Sus scrofa: one gene and its partners. The protein of the gene in region 6 purifies or fractionates together with the protein of the main gene of each other region. This does not show direct contact. Links are inferred from orthologs where the notes say so. Each region holds a gene or a part of one and is shown on either strand. Other genes may lie near its edges. The genes, in order: MAP2, AKAP5, AKAP2, myomegalin, AKAP7, PRKACA and AKAP13.

The links.
Region 1: the proteins of PRKACA (region 6) and MAP2 purify together in Homo sapiens (affinity purification with mass spectrometry; 3 studies listed by BioGRID and IntAct, with this or other methods). This does not show direct contact. The link is inferred for Sus scrofa from reciprocal best matches to the Homo sapiens genes PRKACA and MAP2.
Region 2: the proteins of PRKACA (region 6) and AKAP5 purify together in Homo sapiens (affinity purification with mass spectrometry; 6 studies listed by BioGRID and IntAct, with this or other methods). This does not show direct contact. The link is inferred for Sus scrofa from reciprocal best matches to the Homo sapiens genes PRKACA and AKAP5.
Region 3: the proteins of PRKACA (region 6) and AKAP2 purify together in Homo sapiens (affinity purification with mass spectrometry; 5 studies listed by BioGRID and IntAct, with this or other methods). This does not show direct contact. The link is inferred for Sus scrofa from reciprocal best matches to the Homo sapiens genes PRKACA and PALM2AKAP2.
Region 4: the proteins of PRKACA (region 6) and myomegalin purify together in Homo sapiens (affinity purification with mass spectrometry; 5 studies listed by BioGRID and IntAct, with this or other methods). This does not show direct contact. The link is inferred for Sus scrofa from reciprocal best matches to the Homo sapiens genes PRKACA and PDE4DIP.
Region 5: the proteins of PRKACA (region 6) and AKAP7 purify together in Homo sapiens (affinity purification with mass spectrometry; 4 studies listed by BioGRID and IntAct, with this or other methods). This does not show direct contact. The link is inferred for Sus scrofa from reciprocal best matches to the Homo sapiens genes PRKACA and AKAP7.
Region 7: the proteins of PRKACA (region 6) and AKAP13 purify together in Homo sapiens (affinity purification with mass spectrometry; 3 studies listed by BioGRID and IntAct, with this or other methods). This does not show direct contact. The link is inferred for Sus scrofa from reciprocal best matches to the Homo sapiens genes PRKACA and AKAP13.

The regions. Positions count from the first base shown.
Region 1 is NC_010457.5:112,155,369-112,159,383, forward strand, and holds the start of MAP2 (microtubule-associated protein 2), read left to right. Parts: upstream 1-1,215; 5' UTR 1,216-1,464; intron 1,465-4,015. UniProt on the Homo sapiens protein: The exact function of MAP2 is unknown but MAPs may stabilize the microtubules against depolymerization. They also seem to have a stiffening effect on microtubules.
Region 2 is NC_010449.5:88,541,938-88,544,830, forward strand, and holds the end of AKAP5 (A-kinase anchor protein 5), read left to right. Parts: coding exon 1-1,273; 3' UTR 1,274-2,393; downstream 2,394-2,893. UniProt on the Homo sapiens protein: Multivalent scaffold protein that anchors the cAMP-dependent protein kinase/PKA to cytoskeletal and/or organelle-associated proteins, targeting the signal carried by cAMP to specific intracellular effectors.
Region 3 is NC_010443.5:251,066,564-251,070,535, forward strand, and holds the start of AKAP2 (A-kinase anchor protein 2), read left to right. Parts: upstream 1-1,172; 5' UTR 1,173-1,307; intron 1,308-3,972. UniProt on the Homo sapiens protein: Binds to regulatory subunit (RII) of protein kinase A. May be involved in establishing polarity in signaling systems or in integrating PKA-RII isoforms with downstream effectors to capture, amplify and focus diffuse, trans-cellular signals carried by cAMP.
Region 4 is NC_010446.5:100,731,319-100,735,423, reverse strand, and holds the start of myomegalin, read left to right. Parts: upstream 1-1,305; 5' UTR 1,306-4,105. UniProt on the Homo sapiens protein: Functions as an anchor sequestering components of the cAMP-dependent pathway to Golgi and/or centrosomes.
Region 5 is NC_010443.5:32,359,349-32,363,522, forward strand, and holds the start of AKAP7 (A-kinase anchor protein 7), read right to left. Parts: upstream 2,801-4,174; 5' UTR 2,654-2,800; coding exon 2,398-2,653; intron 1-2,397. UniProt on the Homo sapiens protein: Probably targets cAMP-dependent protein kinase (PKA) to the cellular membrane or cytoskeletal structures.
Region 6 is NC_010444.4:65,073,630-65,077,675, forward strand, and holds the start of PRKACA (cAMP-dependent protein kinase catalytic subunit alpha), read left to right. Parts: upstream 1-1,246; 5' UTR 1,247-1,462; coding exon 1,463-1,508; intron 1,509-4,046.
Region 7 is NC_010449.5:88,067,384-88,070,883, reverse strand, and holds part of AKAP13 (A-kinase anchor protein 13), read right to left. Parts: intron 2,980-3,500; coding exon 1-2,979. UniProt on the Homo sapiens protein: Scaffold protein that plays an important role in assembling signaling complexes downstream of several types of G protein-coupled receptors.

The DNA of each region.
Region 1 (4,015 bases), on a different chromosome or scaffold from region 6:
AAGTTGTAACTACTATTGAAACTGCACAGACCATACCTCACTACCTTGGCAAAACTTAAAAACACCTCGTTAGTACTCCATATAGAAGCTTGAAGTAATTCTGAGTTGCACTTACCTCTTCTACTTACAATGAAGTGCTGTTCTCTGATAATAAAGATTCCATGGTAAAGATTCATGTTTTCTCAATTGGTCACATCTCTTTCAAGAGAATTTAAGATGTGATTCTTTTAAATGGTCAGGTTTCAAGGTTGAAGTTTTCCTTGTTAATTCATTACTTCTGTATCATTCTTCATATTCTCCACAGGCTCTTCTTACTCATTATCTAATTATATCTTCGTATTAAACATACCAGAGGGGTAGAGCTGATACTTTTAACACATTCCTGCAGGTGATTTAGATTAAATGAATTGACTCTGGATCATATATCTAGCTATCTAGAATGCAATGCCCACGAAAGCAGGATTTTTTTCCCCTCTTTGGTGGTAGGGGTGGGGGTGTTCTAAGATGTTGCCACAGTGCCTAGAACAGTGCCTGACACATAATAGATTTCAATACACATTTGTTGAATGAATAAATGAATGACGGAATCTTATTAGTGACGCAGAAGAGTCTAGAATTCTCTAAATCCACAACCATTGTTCCTTTAGTACCCACAAGAGTAGTTCTCTGTTTTCATGCTCCCCTCAATTTTCCTCCGTCTTTTATGGACGTGAACGTCCTAAGGTTTGTGGAGGCAAGACCAGAGAGCCCTCTCCAAGGAACCTCACCCTCACAGCGATAGAGCTGGGAAAGGAGAGGCGTCTATGGGGTACTCCTTCCTGAGAGACTAAAGCTGAAGCGCCTCTGAGTTCACCAAAAACGTCAGATAAGAAGTCGGCTGAGTCCCTCTGTCCCGACGGCGCTGATCTCACTTTGCTTCTGGTAGCGGTGATGGAGGAGGATTCTTCTAGAAAGAGTCTCACAGTCCCAGACCCAAAGTGGCCCTGGCTTAGCCGGCACTCCGAAGCTGCTACCCTCGCTGTCCCCGCGGGGCGGCGGGCTGGCTGCGGCAGGAGGCGGGGTGGCAGTGCTCGCCTCCGGGACGCTGCGGCTTTGCCCGCGCCAGCCCCGCCCCCGCGACCCACCGGGCTGCCAAGTCGGGCGGGGCTTGCGGGGGGCAGGAGGCGGGGCCTGCTGGGGGCGGGGCGGCCGCGCGGGGAGCCAGCGGCCGGGGCGGCGCTCAGACTGGGCCGGGCGCTCCGGCTGCGCGGGCTCTCGGCGGCCGCGGCGACAGCAGCAGCAGCAGCATCCTCCTCTTTCTTTTCTTCCCTTCCGTTTCTTTCTTTTTTTTTTTTTTTCTCCTTCCTTTTCTCCTTCTTCCCTTGCCCCGTCTCCCCTTTTGCTTCTTCTCTAGAGGACGTTAGGTCCTCGGGTCCCTGAGTAGTGGCAGCGGCGACCGCGGGTGCATCCAGTTTCTGCGCCCAGGTAAGAGAACAGTCACCACCTCACCTCTGGTTCTACAGGGTGTTTCTCCTTCTCTCTCGCCCACTGTGTAGAGGGAGGAGAAGGAGCCCAGGAAAAGAGTGAAATGGAGAGAGGTTTGTCTCGTCCTCTGTCTTGGAAGCAGGCACAGGTTGACCGAGCTGCCCAGTCTCCTACCTGGCGGAAGCTTCAGGCCCGGCCTCTTTAGGTGTCACTACTACGCAGCGGGGGACCAGGGCTGCTACCTGGGTTCTAGATTTGTTAAAGGGTGTGTGACCTTGGTAAGTACCACTTTGAAACGCCCGTAAACTTACGTCGGGTTAGGATACCTGTCTTGAGAGCTAATTTTACCTGAGCTGAGAAAAGACAGGGGGTGAATTATGCGAACATAATAGGGACAGGATTTGGAGGTAGAGGATTTTTTTTTTTGTCCATTAACTGCAGAGAACTGACGAGCGAGCAAGTTAGGGAAGCCTTGTCAATTTGAAATCATTTTCCCTGTAATCCTTCCAGAAACAGCTGGAAGAACAAGATTGATGAATATTTATAGTTTTAGGAAAATGAAGAATTAACGTCAGAGGGCGGAACACTAGAAAACAAATGAGTGTGGATTAGCTGAAGCGTCCACATAGTCCTTTTTAACCGATTGGTGTGGAGAGCAGCATCTACAGTTCATCTCTTCTCTTCTTTTTCTTCCTAAAAGGCGTTTGGGGGGCTGTAGTGCTGGGTGCCTTCCCTACCCAACCTCGTCTTTTGTTTAAGGGTGGAAATTTAAAGTAAGAGTATGTGAGAGGAGCAAGGAGTGAGGATGTGTGTGTTTGGGTGTGTGTAGGGGGGAGGGGGTAATAAAACGGATAGGGTCAGAAAAAAAACATCCTTGAAAACTGGAAGTTGATGTTATACTGCCTGGCATCAGGGCTTTGGGATTTTGTCAGAAAATAAAAAAGCTTTCATTAACAAGCCCATTTGTAAGTTGCTGTGAACCATCAGCTGTAAGCCCTTAGCATAATGCTCTTTAAAACTGACTCAGTGTGAAGGGTTTTTGTTTAAAGGCGAGCGTACACAGGAGTATGGTGGTACACACTACACACACACACACACACACACAAAAACCCGTTCACATATATAACACACTGTATTCCTAATATTGCAGTGGATTCTTAGAAGACTAATGTTTAAATATTTATCCTTGAAGATTTGGGTTATGGTGTGAATGAAATCTATAGTGCAAAGCAAACAAACATATGTTGGTGGGTGGTATTTAATTTTTGGGTGTGAGACAAAGGGATTAATGGATATCCGTAAGGTAGTAACTTAAATGTTAAAATTTATTTAAAAATGATCTTTCTGGTCTGGGAGAAGAAATGATTGAAAACTGAAATTGGGGTTTGCAGCCGCAGTGAGGCGATGGAGAACAAAGCCTTTTATGTGAGCCACATTATGCAAAATGTCCCATGCTTGAGCTGCAGGTACCAGCCCAGTATAAAGCATAGCTCTGTAACCCTGTCATTTCACTGTGGGCAATTATAATTTTTTTGGCAATGAAAGTAGATTAAATAAATAAAAGCTCTTTAGAATGCCCAAGAGGAAGATTATAGCCTTTCTTTTGAATGTGACACAAAACACCCATTTAACTGGGCAATTGGTATCTATATGTTTTTCTGGAAACCTTTGTGAATTTATAAACAATTGTGGATGTTTCAGTCATTCCCTCTTCATGTGCAAAAGCATTTCCCCCCTCAAGAAAAGATTAAAGGCATTTTTGTCTTTCAGTAAGGAGTATTATATTTGTGTGTGTGTGTATATATCTTAACATTGATTCATTTTATCTGATTAACAGAGGTTTACATCTGGATTCACAATTTGCATATTATCAGAGCTATTGTGCCTTTAGGATCTGCACTACATGCTGTTTTTATGCCTATGGTTTATTTAATCTTAATTTTTAGTATTTCACAATATAGTATTATTTAATTTCCAAAAGTTTTTTTTTTTGCTTGTTTTTATTTTACCAATAGACAGAAAATTGCCTAACATATACCTGGAGATCTAAGCAATTTAAAAATTGAGCTCCTTTTTTGAAAAAGATTTTTTTTTAATACATTAATTTCCATTTTCTTTCTCGCCTCTCTTGACACCCCCCCCCCGCCCGCTCCTTATCATATAACCTGTTTCTTTGTGACTCTGTCTGTGATGCTTTAAGTTTCTGGTTATGTCTATCAAATGAAGAGCCAGAGGTCTCAAGAATTTCAAATTTAGGATTTGTTAATTCTCTGTAGCAAATCTCCCAGGATGACTTGTTTACAGCACCTTCTCAGGGAGGAGAAGAAGAAAGAATGTGCTGAGAGAGCATGACCCAGTGAAACTGGCACAGCCATTACCTCATCATCGTAGCTACTTCAGATTCATTGAGAGAGCAGGCATCCTCTCAGTGGAAACCAAACACCAGGAGCACACCCATCTCAAGGCAGAAGCCCTTCCTCTAATAATGTTGCTCTGCTGAGGTTAAAGGAATGTTTTCTCTTTTATGTATTTCTCTTCAGGGATCTTGAAC
Region 2 (2,893 bases), on a different chromosome or scaffold from region 6:
AGTTTCTGAAATACAAGTAGAAAGCAAGGATGAGAAGAGATCAGCAGAAGTTAGTCCTCAGGATGAGAGGCAGGAGGAAAAAGCATCGATGCTTTGCTTCAAGAGAAGGAAGAAGGCAACCAAAGCAAGGAAGCCCAAAGCTGGCTCTGATGCTCCTGAGGCAGCAAGGAAATTTCCCCCAGAAGCGGGAGCTTCTGATCAGCCACAGCCCCCAGGGGGAGCCTGGGTTTCAGTCAAACGCCTTATAACATGCAGGAAAAGATCAGATTCTTCAAAGCAGCAAAAGCCCTGTAAGGCTAAAGTGCAGCCTGAAAGCAAGGATGCTGATCTTTCTAAGAAAAAGGCAAAATCCAGACTCAAGATTCCCTGCATAAAATTCTCAAAAGGGGGGAAAAGAAGTAATCATTCCAAAATTATAGAAGACTCAGACTGCAGCATTAAAGTCCAGGAAGAGGCTGAAAGTTTGGATATAAAAACTCCAGTCCAGTTGGATGACCAGGCAACAAAAACCAAGTCAACTCTGGATATAAGGGAAGATGTCTCACAGAAAGATGGTGATGAGGTCTGTGAATCAAATGTGAACAAGAGCATAACTTCTCCTGGAGAAAAAGTGATTTCAGTAGAACTTGAGTTAGGTACAGGGCATTCTGCTATTCCAACCGGAACGCTAATCCTTGAAAAAGATATTGAAACGACTGAAGAAAAACCAAGCATTCATCCTCAGCAAGGGAGCCCACTGGAAACCTCAGACATAGAACATCCCCTCCCAGTGGTTTCTGATGTTCCTCCCTTACCTGCAGTCCCAGATCAACAAATTGTGGAAGAAGCCAGAAGCAGTATCCTAGAAAGTGGACCAGATTGGAAAGACCACGAAAGTAGAGAGATTGTAGCTGAGGAGAGTAAGCCAAAAGATACTGAATTGAGCCAGGAATCAGATTTTCAAGAAAATGAGATCACTGCAGAAAAACCCAAACCAGAAGAAAGCAAAAGAATGGAGCCAATTGCTATTATTATCACAGACACTGAAATCAGTGAATTTGATGTTAAGAAAGCTAAAAATGTCCCTAAGCAATTCCTAATTTCAATTGAAAGTGAGCAAGTAGGGGTTTTTGCTAATGATAGTGGCTTTGAGGGTAGAACTTCAGAACAATATGAAACACTCTTAATAGAAACAGCTTCTTCTCTTGTCAAGAATGCTATCCAGTTGTCTATAGAACAGCTGGTTAATGAAATGGCCTCTGATGATAATACAATAAACAATCTTGTACAGTGATTTAATTTCTAGATCATGGGAGGAAAGAAAAGCTTAATGGTGAGTTATTTACATATTTGTGGCATTCCTTATTCAGTAACAAATGAGAGATTTAGCATCTGTGGAATTTAAAGGTCCAATTCTAGTCCAGAAGTGCTAAAGAATTAAGTTGTAAAACCCTCCCTACCACTGAAGTGTAGCCACTTCTGGATCAGAGGAAGTCAGTACAGATTACAATGGGAAGTGACATCCAGGGAGTTGCTTAGCAGGTGGAGATTGGGATGCTAGGGAGAAGGAAGATGGATTTTCCGTGCACTTGCCATATATGCCATAAGCTCTTTAACATCCTCTGATGTCACAAAGCCAGGTTTCCTTTTGATAGTTCAACCTTGTGTATAGGTTAACATTCACATTCGCTTCCAACAAAACAACTTTTTTTTACAGTGTACTTTTCTGTTGTTTAAAATGAATAAGGTGAACTATTTTTGTGAATGTGTGACTTACAGTTTGTTACACTCCTAGGCAGTAGTCTTACCTCAAAAAAATACTGCAGAAAAACTGATTAAACATGACTGGTTTTCTAGTCTTGCTTAAGTCCTTTACAAAAGCCATTCACAAATTACTTCAAACAGGCAAATAATTATCAAATACAAAGGTGTGGAAACAGGGAGTATATTTTCCCTCTCCATCTTCCTTCTGCTCAAAACAGACAGGTACAAATCCATTTATACATAGAATCACCTGCTGAAAACTTAAAAACAAAAACAATAGCAACAACAAAAACCAAAAATGGAATATTACTTTCCATCCAGGAGAAGGTGAACTTCCCAAGTGACAAGTTATCACGGATACCATAGGATTCCTCTCGCAAGATTAAATCGCTAGAGGCTACATTCATTGATCTCTCCCCAAAGAGGGGAGAGTGGATTCAAAGCCAGCCTGGCGTAAAAGTCCTAGGAAATCATAACATTTTAGTGAAAATATTATTCATTCTTGGCCAAGAATGAGCCAAGAACATGGCTGAATAGAAAGTGAAAAGTGTTGAGAGACTCTGGATATTGGAAATGAACTTTTTCATCAGTACTGATTCAGTCCAGCTACTCTCTTACCAAAAAAAAAAAAAAAAAAAAAAAAAAAAAAAGAATATAACAAGAAGGGCTTGTTTGCATTTTATTCAGTTATTTAAATCATCATTCTCAATGATTGCCATATTTTTTGAAAAAGTCAACCTACTGCAACCTTTCCTTGTGTGAAATGGCCATAATACTTCAACGCACTTCCCTACCTCACAGGTCAGGGTCCATGTTGTTCCCTACTGTCTAAACTGAGTGACAGTGTCACTCTGACAGCAGATGAAGTAATGACAACTTTCACTTGAGTTGTAGGGTATTTGTTATTAAAGATATTTGTACATTCTTGGCGAAAAGAATGTACATAAGATAATTTCAAGCAATCTGGTGACTTTTTGCATTCGTTTGGACTGCATATACAAAGTATGTGTTAATTTGTCTCATAGAATCTTTGTTTCTTCCTGTAAGCACATATTGAGACATCTGGCAGAAGAACCTTATCTGATTTTGGAACCAAACAAGATAATGGGTAAGATTCTTTGCTGAAGTGTAAAATTATTCCCCCCATATT
Region 3 (3,972 bases), on a different chromosome or scaffold from region 6:
TGGATGAGGAAAAAAAGAACCAAACCCTGGCAGGTGACTTTGACGCTCAGAAGAGGAACCCCGTGTTTGGGCCACTGGTTCAGAAAAAAGCAGGCCAGAGGTCGGAAATTGGAAGGAGAGTAAGGGGCTCTGACTTTCAGAGCTGGAGAGAGAGAATCACCGGGAAAATGGAAACACCGGTCATGCCTAGTGGACAGTTGGAGACATCTGACTTTATGCTATATTTATATTCTATTTCCTCTGTAGAGAACGCCTTGCTTTTTAAAATCCTGTTTTCTGGGCGGGGTGTTTCTGTGTGTGTGTCCTCTCTCAGAATTTCTAGATGGTCCGTTTTCAAAGGGTCATTAACATTATTTAAATATTCATGAGGGGGAGGGGATTACATGCTGAAATTTCAGACGTCTCCGGAGTGGGGGGTGGCTGGCCACCCCCTCGACTGAGCCCCACGAGGTGTAACAGCTGCCTCCTTCCCCATCGCTGGCTTTGTTAACACGCACGCCCCGACACCAGGCCACCGGCTGCCACATTAGGGAGGGCATCATGACAGCTCTGGCCAGTCAACGAGCTGGGAAACCTCCCTGTCCACACCTTAGTCTCTGGACCCCATCAGGGCGAGGTCCAAAACACACTGAACCGCCCTCCGGGTCGCAGAAACGCACCTCCCAACCGCTCCCAGCGGTTCCGCTTACCCGGACATAGTCGTGGTGCTGGGTAAGAGACGAGGAGCTCGACCCCTCGTATGGGAACTCAGCAGTTGTGGCGATGTGCGGGCTCACACGCACCCACACACTTTCCTGTACACTCGTATGCACGTATGTATACACCAACACACACGATCCCCTGCACACAAGCCGACACGCCCACCCGTGTGCTAACGCGCGTTCATACACCCAGGCACAGAGCCTTCTCCCCAGTTAGGAAACGCTCGGCTGCACGTGCCCATCCCTCCATTCCTCCAGTCTATCCATTCACTCATTTCTTGGTTTCTACGTTTGTGCACAGATTCCGCCAAAGCCAGACAGAAGGTGTGGGTGGTTGGGGAGGGGATGTGAAAGGCGAGGGGCGGACCGGGGCCCTAGGCGCCGGGAAGGGGGCGGGGAAGGGGCGGGCTCCGGGAGCCGGCGGGCGGCGCTCGGCTCACTCCAGCACGCCCCGCGGCAGCAGCTCTCCGCAGATGCGCTCGCCCCAGCCAGGGGCTGCCGAACGCCTTTGCGTGGAGTCTCCCGGACGCCCCAGCGAGGAGGCAGCGGCCGCACCGCGCTGGAGCAGAGCCCGAGGACTGTGCCCCCGGGATCCGGCGCTCAGAGGTGGGTGTCCAAGCTGGGGCGCGGGCGGCTCCGGACTCCAAGTCCTCGGGGCGCTCTCTTGGTGTTGGGGCCTCGCACACTAGGAAAGGGTGGCCCAGGAGGGATTGGTGATCTGGGAAGCCCTTGGAAGCACCGTGGACTTTAAAGGGCTTTTATGTCCCTTGCTTAGTGGAGCGTGTGCGAGGGGGTGGCCTGGCTGGAAAGGGCTATGGCCATGTGGCCATGTGGCTTTGAATTCCTAGGTTTGGGGGAGGGCCAGCTTTTGGCTCCTTTAATCAGTATTTGTTCACTTATATATACTTTAAAAAATAAACTTAGGCATATTACCCTCCTCCCCCCGCCCCCCGCAACACACACTCACAGAGCCGGGCTGTTGAGGAAAAGCAGAGAAAATCAAAAGGCTGTAGCCGCCTTTCCAGACCCGGGAGCCGCGGTGGATGGAGCCACCCATTCCAGTTCGAGATGAAGGCGTGGGTCTTGACTCCTTAGGTGGCAGCGCTGCGGCCGTTTTTTGGAAGTCTAGAGCTTCTGCATGGAGATTGGGACCGAGAAGGGCTGGGTCCCTGCCCTGACCAGCCCGAGCTCCTTCCGAACGGGATCGGGATGGAGGTGGGGGATGCTGAGGAAGGAGGGAGCAGCCGTTCTGTGCGCGGAAGGAGGGGGATCCGGATCCAAGCTGAGCCTGGAAGTTTGGCCTCAGGCTGAGACCCCACTTCTTAGGATCTGGTGTTTTATCCCGGATAAAGCCTGAGGGTTTGTCTCTTTGGCCCCTTTGTGGGGACACTGTGAAGAGCCGAAGGGGCGGATCGAGGTGGGTGAGCGCTGGGCAAACTGTTCTGTAATCGCCGAGGCGGCGCACCTCCCGGGATAGGAGCTAGGAGATACTGGCGGCCCGGAGCAGTTCTAGAGAAACATAGTGAAGAACAGGGGCCTGAATTAAGTTCAGGAGAGCCGGCAGCCTGGTAGTCCGCGGAGGGAGGCGGAACGGACGGGGGAGCCGTGGTGCTGGTGGCGGGTGAGGGCAGAAGGCAAAGCGGCTGTGGGTGGTGGGGAGGGAGGCGGCAGGCCGCGGGCTGGACCCGCGGGAGCTGGACCCACGGGAGCGGAACCCGCTACCTGGTTTCTGAGCTTCCGTGCATGGATGCGAGATGGCCAGCCTTGGGGATCTCTCCTCAGGCCGCAAAAAGAGGGCGCCTGGGAGGAAAGTGACTCGTTTACAGAGATGTTAAACCCAGTAATGCCAGTTTCCCGCGTGGGTCAATAGTGGTTTGGCTTCGATGGGCTGTGTGGTCAGACGTTGCCAAATTTGCACTCTTCCCTGTAGCAGTTAAGTGCTGCACCATTAATTTGGGCGAACCTCCAACCCTCCCACCAAAGTATTTGTCTTCGAAAAGACTTCCCTGTCTCCTCCCCCCGCCCTGTGTCTCTGTCTCTCCTATAGATCTCTCTATAGTATATCTCTGAGTCTGCAAACAGCTTCTCAGAGGAAGCTCCCTTCCATCTTATCAGGGGCAGAAATTAGTACAAACCCATCACTCACCTTTGTCATCCCCCCCCCCCCCCCCCCGATTTGTTTCCTTGGCTTTGTTCTAACTGAAGAGAGGTCATTTAAGCATCACACTTTTCTTCCTGGAAATGGTCCCAATTTAACTAAACACTCTCCTCCTTCTGGCAGCCTCCTTCACTTTGATCAATAAAATTTCAGAGTGGCATGTCTAGAAATGAGGCATATTTAGTAAGGAGTTTACTAGGTTTCTTTAAATAAAGCCTTTTAAGAATTAAAACTTGCCCTTGAGCATCTTCTAAACAGTTACCCATCCAGCTCTCTCCTCAGTTTTGCCATAGGCTCTTTGCTTAAAGGGCATCTTCTCCTTTGAGTGGGCACATCGTGGGCCCTGCAGTCATTCTGAGCTTCACCAATAAAATTAGTCATGAGCCAGGAAAAATGAAAGTACTACTACTTAGGTCTCCAGATCCCTTAGCTAACAGAGTGTTCAGTTAAGTATCGAGATGTTTCTCTGGCAATGGAGAGAGACATCTCTGGGATGCTGAGATGCTAGTGTGAGATGGATGGCTGGGCTTTGAGATGGGACAAACATTTTGAAATACCCATTATCTCATAGTTCTGGCATGACAGTTGGACAGCTTCCTGCCTGCAGAGTTCAGGGTAGTGTTGTCAGAATTTATTTCACTTTCATAAGTGGCTCCTTCTGACTCACTAACCTCAGGATTTCTGGCTAATAAAGTGAAGCAGGTTGTCTTAGTTATCAAGTGAGGGGAAAATGACCCACTGGTTATTTGATTTCTAAACGTTTTGGTATTTAACATAGAAATTACATTTTCAATGTTACTTTTAAAAAGTGCTAACACCCCAGACTTTCTAATTAATTAGTATAATTATTTTCTAGATTCTACTGTCTTTATAGATTTGGTGGACTTTTAAAGCACCCATGTCCCAGATTTCTATCAGGGTTGTCATCACTTATAAGTCTTACTTATCACAGTAATGACAAATGTTTCAAATAAAGATGAAATTGAAGTTGGATAGAGGTCGTGTTGAGGGATTTTAATGATTAAAACAGGAGCATGCTGAAAATTGACTTCTGAAAACAAAGGGAATGATGTCAGTTCCATTTTTATTTTTGTACATTTCTCAACATTGGCA
Region 4 (4,105 bases), on a different chromosome or scaffold from region 6:
ATCAAAATAGAGATAGTGCAAAAGATCCCTGTTATAGTAATACTTAGGAATCTTGTTCCAAATGGGAAGATAGTTCTCTAAATTCAACAATTTTGTATGTAATTCTTTATTAATTGGTTTTCCATTTATCTGCAGAACTTTGATCTTTTGGCAAGATTTGTCTGAATACAGTTTAATAAGAGAGTTCTAATTCAGTAGTTTTCAAAGTCTGGTTCTCAGCAGCAGCTGCTTGACCCAGGAATTTTCTAGGAATGCAAATTCTTGGACCCCTTCTCAGAATAACTGAATTAAAACTTGTTAAATCTTTAACAAACCCTCCAGGTGATTCTGATGCATGCCAAAGACTAAAACCCACTGTTTAAATTAATTGTTTTATTTTGTAGGTTAGGAAATTAAGGGCCCGATATAAGCGATTTGACTTAGGACAGATAGCAGACACGTGCTTATGAATGCACTTATCAATCCATTGTGAGGGCAGAAAGCATGTATATAAAATTAATCATTTGTCTAATTCATTATAGGTTATCATAATATGAAACTTGTTCTCAGTAAAATTTTCCCTTGTTATGTACTTCTGATAAGTTTTAGAAGTATTTATTTTGTTCTAAATCATCACAAAAGCCTTATGTCTCACCTTAACAATATGTTTTTTGTTTCTATTATAAATGTGTGGTGTGGGGAGTTCCTGTCGTGGCGCAGTGGTTAACGAATCCGACTAGGAACCATTAGGTTGTGGGTTCGATCCCTGGCCTTGCTCAGTGGGTTAATGATCCGGCATTGCTGTGAGCTGTGATGTAGGTCGCAGATGCGGCTCAGATCCCGCGTTGCTGTGGCTCTGGCGTAGGCTGGCAGCCACAGCTCCGAATGGACCCCTAGCCTGGGAACCTCCATATGCCACGGGCGCGGCCCAAAGAAATAGCAAAAAAATAAATAAATAAATGTGTGGTGTGTATATGTATATAAAATAATATTTTCCAAGATCATTGGATAGAAACTATGAAAATTTAAAGTCACAATTGAACATTTCATCAAATTTCTTCTGGGCTATATTTTAATCTTCCCAATTTTCAAAGCTATTCTTATGATAGAATGAGGGTTACTTTAATCCCTCAGATTAAACTTTGTGGGCTATATATATTTTTATAATTATTTACACCTTTTTAATCTTTTAAAATTGAACTATACCAACGGATAAAATCTACAGAAAAAGCATTTTCAGTGAGCTTTAAAATTGTACACATCCGGAGTTCCCGTCGTGGCGCAGTGGTTAACGAATTCGACTAGGAACCATGAGGTTGTGGGTTCGGTCCCTGCCCTTGCTCAGTGGGTTAAGGATCTGGCGTTGTCGTGAGCTGTGGTGTAGGTTGCAGATGCGGCTCGATCCCGCGTTGCTGTGGCTCTGGCGTAGGCCAGTGGCTACAGCTCCGATTAGACCCCTAGTCTGGGAACCTCCATATGCTGCGGGAGCGGCCCAAAGAAATAGCAAAAAGACAAAAAAAGACAAAAAAAAAAAATTGTACACATCCATGTAACTATCACCCAAAACAATAGAACATTTTAATCAGTCCAGAAAGTTCCTTTGTGCCCTCTTGTAACCAATTCTCACCTTATTTCACCCCCCATAACCACTTTTGGAATTTCTATCATTATAGAAATTGTTAGACTTTAAACTGTTAGACAAATAAAAATCACACAGGATGTATTGAAATGGCTTGTTTCACATAAGACACTTGAGATTCATTCATGTTGTGGATATCAGAATTCATTCTTTTTTATTGGTGGTTAATATTACATTATGTGAATATATGAAAATGTGTTTATCCTACCTTTTTCTTAGTAATATTTTTCTTATCACAAATCAATCCATACTTATTATAGAAAATTATAGAATACAAATGAGGAAAGAAGAAAGGTATCCATAATCCTACTCTCCAGACATAATCATGATTTAGTAACTTGTATATCCCTGTGAACCTTTGTTTATATAAGTTGTCCACATATATAATATATATATCATATTTTAGAAAAATTCTCATTTTAGGTTCAAGATTTACCACTTAGACTCTAAGTCTTAAATTGGCACAGTTCTTCATTTTAACTATAGAATATTTCCTAACCTTAAAGCATTTAAAAAATAATATATGAATATAGATTCATGCCCCAGATTCAAATGATACATGATATATAGAATAAAAGTAAATGTTCCTGTTCAGCTCCCTATTTTGCTTGCCTCCCCATAGGTAGCCAGTGTTAACCAAATACAAAATCTTGACCAAGACGATATTGATAAGAATCATAAAGTACTGAATTGTTACTTTATAATTTTTCTTCATTTTTTAATTTTTCTTTCCAAGTTTTATTATACAAAAATGATCTTTTTATAATACCAAATGATCACTTTAGGAGTAGTTCTAGTAGTCTACTATCTGTTTTGAGATATGATCTAAATATTTTCTCTGAGAGTGAAGAGTGCTATCTTCAGATTTTTTTTGATTGTTGAATGATTTATTCCTGTCTGTTGTTGAAAGCCTAGATATGTATAGCTCTCTTTCAGTATGTTGACCTTTACCATTTTTTAAAATTATTTATATTGATCTTTACCACTGAAGAAACATATTGTTTGATGGGAAATTGCCTTTTCTCCATTAGTACTGACTTGTATGTCAACTAGCTATATACTGTCATTAAAGTCTAGAGGCTGCAAGTTAGATGCAAAATCTTATTAAGTAATAGAGAATAATACAAAGTATTGTTTAGAGTTTGCTCCTGAAGAGCACTTTGTTTCATTAGCATTTTCCCCATTGGGAAAATATGGCTTGCATTAACAAAGATGAGGCCTCGATTAATGTCTTAATTTGCAGTTTTTGGTCTTTTGAGTCCTTGCTGTTCTTTAGGACAACACTTAAGACAGGGTAGGGCAGGGTAGTGACGTGGAAGTCCAGAAACTCTTTGCCTCTCTGTACAGCACTATAGATTCCAAAGATTATTACTTAATTTCTTCTGACTCCGAAGCTCATTTATCACTGTAGTGAGTTTTACTTGGAACTCTATTTTACCTTCTTGGTTTGGGGGTCAGAACTACACATTTAGGTGAAATCACAGATGTGAAGTTCTGTACCCTACTAAACCCAAAGCTCTAAGGACTGACCTTATCTCTCATGATGGAGCTGATAAGATGTTGTCTTGATGATTAAATAAGAGCAATAAAACTTCATATGTGCAGAGCCCCCATCAAACTTTAAAATTACTTTAAAATAGTCCCATTATTATAATATTAAAATAATATTAACTATTATTTAGTGAGCCAAATTCTGTTAAAGCACTTCCCCCAAATCATCTCGTTTAATCCTCAATAAGAAGTTTGGGGGTTTATTATGAGCTTTCATTGAAAGTATCTGAGGAGTTCCCATTGTGGTGCAGCAGAAATGATTCCTACTAGGAACCATGAGGTTGTGGGTTTGATCCCTGGCCTCGCTCACTGGGCTAAGGATCCAGCCTTGTCCTGAGCTAAGGATCCAGCCTTGCCCTGAGCTGTGGTGTAGGTCGCAGACATGGCTCGGATCTCACGTTGCTGTTGCTGTGGCTGTGGTGTATGTAGGCCAGCAGCTGTAGCTCCAATTAGACCCCTCGTCTGGGAACCTCCATGTGAGGCAGGTGTGGCCCTAAAAAGCAAAAAAAGGAAAAAAAAAAAAAAAGTATCTGAATGTCTCCAGGTTTAGAAGCGTGGGCTCTGTCCTGGAGATGAGATTCAGAAATATTTATGACTGTTGCTGACTTTACAAGGTCAAGTTAGTGAAATCTAGGGTTACTGTAACTGGGGAATAAATGTTCTGCTCTGGGGAAATGATTACTTGGGTCCGTTTTCCTTTCCATCTGGAAGCTGGATACCTCTCAAGCCAGGGAGAGAGTTTTTTATTGTAAGTGGACGTTGACACCTCAGTTTCACCTAGACAGAATTCCAGTTTCCCTCCTTTCTTTGCGTGCATTCCAAGTTCTACACCCAAGGGTGGGTGTCTTACTACTGGATAATGTTGAATAATACAGGATACTAAGTGAAGTCAGTGAAATTCTCAGCCCCACTTCTACAGATTGCAGCACTCCCCAA
Region 5 (4,174 bases), on a different chromosome or scaffold from region 6:
CACTGCGCCACGACAGGAACTCCAGGGAGGTATTCTTATCATACTCATTTTACAAACTAGCCGATGAAGTAACCTACCCCAGGTTACTAAGCTAGTAGGTCTTGGGGCTATAATTTGAAACCAGTTACTCAACCACGAAAACCTGCCCTTTCCAGCAAAAAGCCTGATGGAAAGTTAACAGTGTTTACGGTTCTGTAAACTGATCTGGCAATGATGTTCTTCTTACAAAAGAGGTACCAGGAGAAGTTCCTGTCGTGGCTCAGCAGTTAGAGAACCCGACTAACATCCATGAGGACGCAGATTTGATCCCTGGCCTCGCTCAGTGGGCTAAGGATCTGACGTTGTCATGAGCTGTGGTGTAGGCCGGCAACTATAGCTCTGATAAGACCCCCTAGCCTGGGAATCTCCATATGCCGTGGGTTCGGCCCTAAAAAGACAAAAAATAATATAAAAATAAACAAATAAAATAAATGTAAAAGCGAAGTGGCATAATGAGAACTTATGAAAAGCAGGGGATACCTACACTAACCTTTTAAAAAGCACATATAAAACTATATATACTTGTGCTATGTTGGCAATTACATAGGATAAGGCTAAAGGATATAAATTATTTCTAAATGCTGCCATAGTTGTACTCAATATATTTGTATTTTTCCTGTTTCTGCTATCCAAACATCTTACATAGAATTAATATTACTTTTTTTTTTTTTTAATCTTTTTAGGGCCGAACCCATGGCACACAGAGGTTCCCAGACTGGGGTGGAATCCGAGCTGGCCTACACCACAACCACAGCAACGCAGGATCCGAGCCGTGTCTGTGACCTACACCACAGCTCACGGCAGTGCTGGATCCTTAACCCACTGAGCGAGGCCTGGGATCAAACCTTCAACCTCATGGATGCTACTCAGATTCATTTCCACTGAGCCACAATGAGAACTCCTTAATATTACTTTCCGGGTACCGCGGGAATCCGGGTACCGCGGCCACATCGGTACATTAAAAAAACATTAAAAAACAATTAATGCATACATCTAAAATATATTACAAAACCATACATGAAGTATATATACACTAATATTTGAATATACATGCATTTTAGAAAATGATTTTGTCACAGACCAATAGGGGAAAACAAGGATACTTCATCCTTTGTCACACAAAATGCAAGCTTCCTATTTGGATAACAAAGTACAACTTTATTAGGCAAGATTCTCTTCAATTCACTCGACTAGGTATACAGCAGGGAGACTTCCCAAGAGCCAGTGGAAAGGGTTAATCCCATCATTCATGCTGGTCTTGGCCTAGCTACTAAAAATAGAAACATCTTACATCTGGAGAAATATTGAGCTGGGTGATAATCAACAAGTCACCTGACCTCCATGTTTTGGTTTCCACATCGTTTAAAAAATGAACGAGAAAGAGAACAAAAGTACAATCCAAATCACTATAAATACACAAAATAAGCCAATAATATCCGAAATGAAATGTAAGAAGACAAACAAACATCTTAAAGGCACATCATCAGGATTCGAACGTTGGCCATACACTAAAAGCACTCAAGACACCGGGATGTGAAACCTTTCTCTTTGACAACCCCCTATGCGTTCACTTCGGTAACCGCATCCATCTCAAAACTCCCGCTCTCAGCATCCACCTACAAGGTCTTCGCTTTTCCATTCTCTTAACTCTTGTAAACTATTGTATAACATTTTCACGCCTTTTATACCTTTTTAAGCGTTTATACTACAAAAATCTCACGGAAGAGCACCTTTTCTCTAACCGGTTTGTTGGTCCCTTTCACCAAAAGTTCGGCCTCTAACCCTCGCTCTACCCACAAAGTTCAGTTCACAGGAAATGCTGACTTAAACTAGAAATTAATTCCCGGCCCTACCGCAGATTTGGCGCCAGTTTAAAGGGGTCTTAGAATAAAATCCTAGCAGGAAATCCTAAAAGTGGTGGTTCAGGTCTTTAATTTTGATAAAGTATAAAAGTGGAGTTTTTCTAGGTTTTGCTGGCCACACAAACACTGTCGGTGGGTGTGCGTTGGCATGAACTTTCCGAAAGGTCACAAACTCAGAAAGGAAAACGAAAGCGAAATTTAGGGTGCGAAACTTAGGGTGTTTCAAAGGTGAAACACCCCCGGCCTCTGTGGCAGCAGCAGTGCGTGCACTAACTGAAAGCCTTGCTTGCAGGCACTGATCACACCCCCAGTGCACGGCTTTCTCGAGGCTACACTGAGTCCCGCGCTGAGCCGGGAGAGGAGCCCCGGAGCAGGGCAGGCTCAGGGTCGCGCTGCAAGGTCTGGGGGAGAGACCAAGCCCTCCCCGAGGCCGAGCGGGGCCCACGCCTCCAGGCTCCAGTCGCCCCACCCGGCCCGCTCGGCCGCCCGGGCTCACCGGCTCCGGGGTGCTCCATGGTGGCGGCGCTAGCGGGCGGCAGGCCTCTGCAGCCGGCGACAGCGGCCGGGCGCTGCGGCCAGGGACTGGGCGCGGGGCGGAGGCGGGAGGCGGGGCGGGGCTGGGGGCCGGGCGGCGGCGCGCTGGGGCGGAGCGGGGGGCGGTGGCCGCGGCAGGCGGCGGGGGCTCGGGCCGCGGCGACCAGGCCTGCGGAGGCGCCGAGCCCCCAGATCTTCAATCCCCGCAGGAGCTGCATGCCCAGGCCGCGCGCCCGGAGGGAGTGGAAGGGGCCGACCCGATGTGGCCGCGGTACCCGGATTCCCGCGAGCGAGGGAGGCGGGGGAAGCCGCAACTACTGCGCGAGGGAGAGAAGAGGGCTCCTCTCTGCCCGGCGACGCTCCGCCCCCTCCTTGCCCCGCCCCCGCCGGGGACCTCTAAGGTCTTCCGCTGCGCTCAGTTCTTCCCAGTGCCCGGCCTTTCCTTCCCGTGCGGAGGGGGTGAGATTGGGCCCTTAAAGAAGGAACTCCCTGGTCTGGGTTCTCCTGAGAATCCATGTGTTTGGTTTTGCAAAGAGCTTTCAAAACACAGCGTTCTGCTTATAAAATACTTGGAAAGAGCGAGATGTGCAGGAATGAGACCTTGTCAGTTTGTATAATTAGATCTTTACTTTGCACTAAAGGAAAAAAAAAAAAGCCAAAGTTCCCTTGTGGCGTAGGGGGTTAAGGATCTGACCTTGTTGCAGGTCACATCTGGATCGCTGGTTTGATCCCTGGTGCAGAAACCTCCATGTGCCTGGGGTGCGGCCAAAAGGAAAAAAAAAGCCAAGTTGTAGCAGTGTCTCAAATTTTTAACCCTGGTTTCATGCCTAGAAATTAAATGGAAAGCAGCTATTTGTGGTTGCATATTAAAGGACTGACAACTAGGGGGAAAATTTTACTTAAAAAAAAAAAAAAAGAAACTTTGGGAATTTCCATTGTGGCTTAGCAGGTTAAGAAGACGACATAATTTCCGTGGGAATGGGGGTTCAATCCCTGGCCTCACTCAATGGGTTAAGGATCAGGTGTTGGAGGCAAGCTGTGGCATAGATCTCAGATGCAGCTGGGATCCAGTGTTGCTCTAGAGTATGCCTGCAGCTGCAACTCCATTTCAACCCCCCTGGCCCAGAAGGTTCCATATACTGCAGGTGCTGCCTTAAAAAGAAAAACAAAACCTTTTGATCTTGGATCAGAATTCTACTGGAAGAGTTCCCCTTGTGGCTCAGCAGGTTAAGAACCCCACTAGTATCCATGAGGATTCAGGTTCTACCCATGGCCTCGCTCAGTGGGTTAAGAATCTGGTGTTGCAGTGAGTTGTGGTGTAGGTCACAGATGCAGCTCAGATCCCAGGCTGCTGTGACTGTGGCGTAGGCCTGCAGCTGCAGCTCTGATTAGACCCCTGGCTTGGGAATTTCTATATGCTGCAGGTGCGGCCCTTAAAAGCAAATTCTTCTGGAGTTTTCTAAGTGCAAAGAAGCCAATCAGCAAGGAAAAGTAGATTCATCTTTCAACAAATTAATAGAGACTATCTTGGGAATGATAGCACTTGCCTTATCTTGAATGCATCCTATACTGAACATGGAAGCAAGGACTTGCGCACAACCCCAATAGTTGGCAGAAAGACCCTATACAACTAGTCATAAAGCTCGTTAATCTGGTTGTAAAATAATTCTACCAAGTTGAGTGTTTGGTTGACAGGTTCATTGCAATTATGGGCTGGCTAATTGGAGAAGGACAACAGG
Region 6 (4,046 bases):
ACAGTGTCTAGAGGTGGCTTTTGTTGTCACAGCTGGTGGAGGAGAGGAAGGTTCTACTGACATCCAGGTGGCAGACTGGGGATGCTGCTAAACACCCTACAGGACCACTCCTCACTCCCACGCCAGCATAGACTGGTCCGGCCCTGAATGTCAGAAATGTGGCAGTGGGAAACTGTCCTCAGTATATTAAAAGGGCACCCTAAGGAAGGGGCAATTTTGCTACTCTGCTCCAGGAGGGGCCGTTCCTTTTGCATTGCCTAGACAGAGGGAATCCCCATCTTGGCTGTGCCCCATTCCTCATCTGTAAAATGGGAGTGATGATCATAGTGCCTACGTGATAGGAGTGTGGTACGAAATAACGTATTTAATGAGCGCTAGCTCACCACTGCCATGAGCCCAAGTTGGGGACCCAGTAAAAAAGGATGGCTAGTGAGCGCCCCCTCCCAACATCCCCTTGCTCCTGCAGCCCAGCATCCTCCAGAAGCTCAGGCTGTGGCTGAGAGAGACCCAAGAGGACCGCAGCCTGGCCCCGGGGCCTGCAGCTATCCTGCGCCAGGCCTTATGAATGACGACGGCCGGCGGCCGGGCGACCTATGACCCGCGGCGCCTGCTGCTCTCCTCCCCCGCTGGCAGGTGGACAGCGGCTGCGCCGGGGTTGCGGGGTGGGGTGGGGGGGGCGCGGCGCCAACCTCGGCTGGCCGGCAGCCGCTGCCGCACTGAGCGGGGGCGGGGGACTGCGGCGAATACGGGGCTGGGCGAGCGCCCGCCTGGACCGCCGCCTGGGGCTCCGAGCGCTGCGCGGCCGCCCGCCAGCCTCGGCCGCCCCGCCCGGCGGGTCCAGGCAACAGGATGAGCCTCCGCGCCCCCCCACCCGGTGGGTCGAGGCTCAGCCTGCCGCCCCGCCCGTCAGGTCCGGGCGGCGGGCTGAGCCTCCGCCCCGCCCTCTCACCTCGGGATTGACACTGAACGTTCGGCCGAGGGTTTGCCGGACAGCCAGCCTTGGCCAATTGACTGCCTCGCTGGGCGGGCCCCAGAGCCTGTCGGGAGGCTGGACCAATCAGACGCGTCGGCCCGCCCGGCTGAGGCCTCAGAAGCGCGCGAGTGGCCGGGCGTTCTAGGGGCGTGTCAGGGGCCGGGATCCTATGGCAGCACGGGAGGTTTGCGGAGGACCAATGGACTGCGGCGTAGCGCCGTCAGTCAGGGAGGCCTAGACCAATGAGCGGCAGGCTGCGGGGGCGTCACGGACAGCAGCAGCAGCGGACTTGGGCTGAGGTTCCCGGGCGGGCGGGCGCGGAGAGACGCGGGAAGCAGGGGCTGGGCGGGGGTCGCGGCGCCGCAGCCAGCGCAGCCAACCCCAGGGGCCGCCGCCGCCGCCGCCGCCCAGCGCGCTCCGGGGCCGCGGGCCGCCTCCAGCACCCGCCGCGCCGCAGCTCCGGGACCGGCCCCGGCCGCCGCCGCCGCGATGGGCAACGCCGCCGCCGCCAAGAAGGGCAGCGAGCAGGAGAGCGGTGAGTGCCCGGGCCGTGACCCCGATCGCGGCCCCGCGCTGCCAGCCCCCTCCCTGTCCATCACCGCTTGGCCCCTCCCCTTATCCCCCCCATTTCTCTCTGTTTACCCTACAGCGAACCCTTCCCCCTGTCTGTCCAAGGTTGGGGCCCAAGGCCCGCAGAAGACCCCGTAGGAGCCCCCTTGCCAAAGACCGTCCCCCTGTGCAAAGACCGTGCTCCCCCCCAGCTGTCACTGCCAACCATGGCACGTATAACCGCTGAGGCCCCACATGGGGCCCTGTCACTACCCCACTCTCTTCTTTCCTGGTACCTCTGCACAGATTCTAAATCTCCCCCCACTTCTTCACTCACCTCTTCCACACTCACCTCTTCTGCCAGTCTGGGAGTGCTGTGGGGTCTGCCTCCACCCTGCAGGGACCTTGGCCACTTGGTGACCACACCCCTCCCCCCTCCAGCCCCCGCCATCTTTCTCCTGCCCTTCCCCTCTTCACCTTATCACAGCCCCCTCCAACCCCACTTTGCCTTCCTTGAGCATTTCTCAGGGCCACCTCCAGAATTGTTTTTCCCTTCTGTGTCACTTGACATGGGGGACAGGATCTTTCTGGGTCTCTCTGCCCCTCTCTCATCCTGATACTCTCTGTCACTCTGCTCCTCTGCTTGTGCTCCCTCCTCCAAGCAAGCGTCTGTCCCTGGCTGGGGTAGCAGACTGTTTATGAACCTAGAGAACTGCTTCAGTGCTTCCAAAGCCAAGTTTGAGCTGATCTTGCTGGAAAATTCATTGCGTCGTTTTTCCTGGGTTGGGGGGTGGAGGTGTCAGCAGAGAGCCCCTTCCCATCTCTGGAAGGCTCTAGGCTCCTCAGAGGGCCCCTCAATAAATGGTTGTTTCACAACTGAGGCTTCGTCATTCACCCAGTCCCCCAGGCTTCTTGACCCGCTCCGGGCTTGGGATGAAGAGTGTCTGGCTTTAACAAGCCTCCTTCAGCTTGAGCTGGAATGGTGAGAAAGAGGACTCAAGGGATGGCAATTGGGAGGAGTAGTGGGTGACATCTAATGCCTCTCTGCCAAGGGACAAATAGATTCTGATCATTCCCAGGGTTCAACCAGAGAAGAGCCTATTTCTCCCTCAGCCCCCAAATAGTGGCCTTTTCCAGCCAGCCAGGGAAAGAGATTTTGGTATCTGGAAATGCCTTCAGAAATGGCCTTGAGCCCCTTCCTCAGTTCCTCCAGCTCTTAAATTGTCATCACTCCAGGCATAAAGCTGGACCTCAGCTAGGATCCCCTTCCAGTTACCCAGAAATAGTCAGAGCTTAAAAGGGAGGCCACATCCACATAGGTCCTTCCCATTTACTGGTCTCAACCCGCAGCGTCCGAGTTCCCCGAAGGCTCCCTCCCAGAAAGACCCAGGCATGAAAGCCAGGGAACTTGCTTCCCATCCGGATTCAAATGGCCAAATTTTAGAGTCACTGAGCAACCATGGAGAGGCCTGACAAGTCACCGAGGGGCGGGGAACGGGGAGGCAAGTGCCTGTAGCTGAGCGCTTGATGACAGAGGAGCAGGTGGGTAGTGACCAAAAAAGGTCTGGGCCTGTGCTTGGAGGGGACTAAGCAGAGGGGGAGGAGCCAGGCCCCCAGCAGGTGAGGCTGGCTGGGAGGTGGAAGGTGGAGGCAGGCAGCTGTGTATTTCAGAGGCTCAGTTGAAAGTTGGGGAGATGACATAGTCCTGAAAACTCTCAAGGCATATCAGACACATACAGTGGGGCCGGGGGTGGGGGTAGGGGTGGGGGGAAAGCCGCACAGGGAAAAGGATCCCCAAGAAACAGATCAGAGGCTCTGGAAGGAAGCGCTAATTCCCTCAGATCACTCAGGACTGGAATATCAAGATGAAGTAGAGCCACTATTTATTGGGCATCTAGGATGTGCCAGGCTATGTGGTCTCCATAGATCTGTCTGCTCAAGTGGTTTTCTTTCTTTTTTTTTTTTTTTTTTTTTTTTTTTTTTTGTCTTTTTGCTATTTCTTTGGGCCCCTCCCGCGGCATATGGAGGTTCCCAGGCTGGGGGTCAAATCGGAGCTGTAGCCACTGGCCTACGCCAGAGCCACAGCAACACGGGATCCGAGCTGCGTCTGCAACCTACACCACAGCTCATGGCAACGCCAGATCGTTAACCCACTGAGCAAGGGCAGGGACCGAACCCACAACCTCATGGTTCCTAGTCGGATTCGTTAACCACTGCGCCACAACGGGAACTCCTCAAGTGGTTTTCATAATGGGCTGTCATCCGAATTTTCTACACGTGTTCTCTGAGTTTGACATAGGTGATGCCACAGAGGCAGGATTCTCATCCAGTTCCACCTACCAGCCAACTTCCTGGACCCTGGGATGTCCTAACTCAAACATTCTCCCACCTGCCTTCCTGATTTTTTGCTATATCCACTTCTATTTTGTTAACTTAAAATAAAAAATTTGACTCATTTTTGTTCAGATATAAATCTTGATCTGTCCTGAGCAGTAGTATAAAGGAAATCATGGGATTGCTATGC
Region 7 (3,500 bases), on a different chromosome or scaffold from region 6:
TGGTGGGGTCTCCGCAGGCTGGACAGCATGCGCCTTCCCTGGAGAAGCACTCTCTAGCTGTTCAGTCTCTGGGCCTGACTCGGAAGGACTGGACAGGAACACATGACTGATCTTCCCCTCTGTCATCAGTGCTCCCGAGGCCTTGACTCGCTCTATGACAGCATCCACTATACGACTAGCAGCCTCCTCGATAGAGCCTGCTTTCTCAGGCGGCAGCGCAACTTCAGCAGAGACAGCGCAGAGCACAGGGACAGCACCCCTTTCCCTGCCTTGGGCCTGGTCACCACGGCCTGGGGGCCCTGTCTCTGTGGGGGGATCTTTGGCAACAGGCTGCAGCGGGATGTGATACGCTTCCTCACCCCTCTGTGCCTCCTTGGAGTCGCCCAGACTACAGCTGCCACCTGCTCCCTCCACCTTCCCCTTCTCCCGGCCCAGTGGTTCCAGCTCTGGGATTGCGGTGTCCTCAAGACCAGTCACACCTTTGTCTAGTAAAGCTCCTGGCACACCCAGGATCATATTCTTCTCTGGGCTCAGTGAGACTGGTGGGATCGGCATGTCCTCGGTGTGATATGACATATCCTTTCTTCTGGCCCCAACGGTGCCTTGTAGGGCACTGACCATGGCACCATCCAACGCCACATTTCCACTCACCTCACAAGCAGTGGTCTCCTGGGACTGAGTGCTTTTCACTCCAACATCCAGAGCAGGAGACTGACTGCCGTTAAGAGTCTCAGACCCATCTGGTAACAGACTTGGCAATGGAGGTGAGCTGCTGTGCTCTGCACCCAAGGCTTCCTGGCTTGAGTCTGCAGCCAGACTTGCTCCTGGTAGCACCAGGCTCTGGGCAGCCCCACCTTCAGTCAGCAGTGAGACTGGTGGGGCCACTTCCTTGTTATGTTTAGTTTCTGCATTAAGACGAGCCAAGGGTGTGCCCAGTGAATTACCGTGCTGAGGAGCTCTATCCTCAGCACAGGCAGCTGAACTAGGTTCTTCACGGAATCCCAGGGCCTCTTGTCCAGGAGGTGGTATTCTCTGCTTTTCCTGCAACGTTCCTGCACAAAGGGTGTCTTCCTTAATGGAGGAACAGGTCACTGCTTTATCCTTGTCATCTGGTCCCCGAGCTGCAGGGCTTTCTATAACCACCTGACTTTCTCCTTCTTCAGTCAAAACAGAATCAGAGGCCAAAGTGGCCTGACCCGCATGTAGTAGTGAAGAGTCAGCAGCCCCCTCGATATTTAGGACTTCAGGGGCTGCTGAGAGGCAGGGATCCTCGTCCTCCCCACCAAGTCCCACGGGACTGGTATTCCCCATGCCAGGCTGAAGATCTAGAGCAGAGGAGTGTAGACACAGGCCTGTTGCACTGTCTTCTGGTGGCTGCTTCTCCGGATCATTCAAGTCTCCGTCTGGGCCATCTGTACAATCTGTATGTGGTTCAAGAGTTGCTGTTCCCTTTTCATTCTGGGAGGGGACAAGAGAAAGCGCGTCATCTTTGGTTACTGATTCACTGCCGGGACTGCCTGCCAGAGAGAAAGTCTTGCCTGATGTCCCTGCGTGGTCTGACACCCACTCTTTCTCAGCTTTGGAGACAATTACATGTGGATGTGGGACTACCTCAGGCATATCTGTTAAAGATGTTTCTAGTTTCAAATTTTCCCCTTGGCTTTCTTTATCCAAAACTTCGAAAGGACAAAAATCCACATGTTCCTGAGGGTTTCTCACAGGGTGAGCCTTTGGGCCTTCTGAGCAGCTGGCAGTGGGCAGGTGTGTGCTGGGCAGTCCTGTGGTGGTGCTTTCAGGCTTGGTAACTATGTCATCACGGTGTTCTGCAGCCAACACACCACTAGAAGTCACCATGTTCTGTTGGCATGTGGAGGCAGCACAAAGTTTATCAACTCCAGTTGTAGAACAGATGGGTGATATATTGTTTTGGCTTTGAACATGAGATGAATCTGTTTCTGATTTCTGGTTTAGTATAACGTCTTTTTGTGGGCCGGTAAAGGTTAAATCAGAGGGTAACACTGCCACACACGTGCCTGCTAAGGGAGTGTCAGGTTTGAACCCTTCTGAAATCTCGTCTTTTGCAGCAGTTAGAATTAACTGAGAGTTCTGAGCTCCTGGAGTATCAGTACTCTCTTCACAACTTCTAGACATTTCAGTTTCTACAGTTTTTTCAGTGGCAGTTTCTCCATTACTAACTGCAAATAAAGACTCAGCAGGTTTGTCAGCATCCAGGGAACCTGCAGCAGAGACACCGTTTAGAACACTGGCTTTATCCACAGGCTCATCTGTGACTTTTAGGTCAGAGGCTCCGGCTGTGCTGATACTAGAGTCCTCAGATCCTTCCTTTGTACTCCCCTCTACTTCAAGCATATTGGTCTGGATGGTGGCATCTGGGTTCATGAGACCAGGTTCCATTTCCCCTGCAGTCTCTGGGACACAGGCATCTGATGAACTAACCACTAGTTCACCTGCAGAGAAAGGTTGGGCTGTGCCAGGCTTCATGACCACGCCTCCCTGCAGGACACTGACTCCACCGCCTGGAGACTCCTGGTCCGTGGCCACTGCTGAAGATTTTGTTCCAGTGTCTTCATTTCTGATTCCACAGGATGGAAGACCTTCTGTGCCCTTTCCTTTGCAATCAGGTGTGCCCTGAAGGCAGCTGTCAGGATCAGACATAGTCCCAGAGTCCACAAAAGGTGCCGGCTCCACCTCATCTCCTTTCTCCGGGCTTTTATTTTTCTTGCTACAGAAACAGTCTGAATTGTCCTCCTTAACTCCACTTGATAAATCAAAGGAAGTTTCAATCTGCCCCATTGTGCTCCCATGGCAGCACTGAGAGCTCTCTGCATCTTCAGGAGAAGCATGCTGCTGGCTGACTGGGGGCTCTGATGCACAGGGATGGTCACCGGGCAGACTTGAAGGATCCTCTGCTGTCACCATTGAAGGCTTAAGACTATCCATCTGCTTCAGGTTTGTTTTCTAGGAGGAAATGGAAGATATTTTTTAAAAACTGTCCAGTGGAAAATATGTCACCTATAAGCAACAATTCTGTTGGTGAGAACTCACTGGCATTCCAGCCCTTCTAAGATCACATGAGAAATCAACCTAAGTAAACACAAATAAATTCTCTCTTGTTCTTGACATCAATTCCCCATGCCAGGCTGAAGATCTAGAGCAGAGGAGGATTTCCTGTAAATTATTCCCATACCTTACAGGTGGCTTTGGCATCTGCAAACTGCTCTTTTCATCCAGTAAGAAGAGCTCTAAAGGAAAACCTGACCTTTTGGCAGTCCCTTCAGAGGAAAATAAAGTGAGACCTGTTCTGGAACAAACATGATTCAGAGAGGCAGAGGCAGGTGCATCACACAACCTTGCTATGGAGTCTCTTGGCTTGCTGGTCACAGAAATAAAGCCTGCTCCCAAAGAAGCCTCAGGCATTGAGCTGACCCTAGATGCCCTTAAATGAAATTACTGCCGAGCTTTTTCCAAATCAAGTCAAC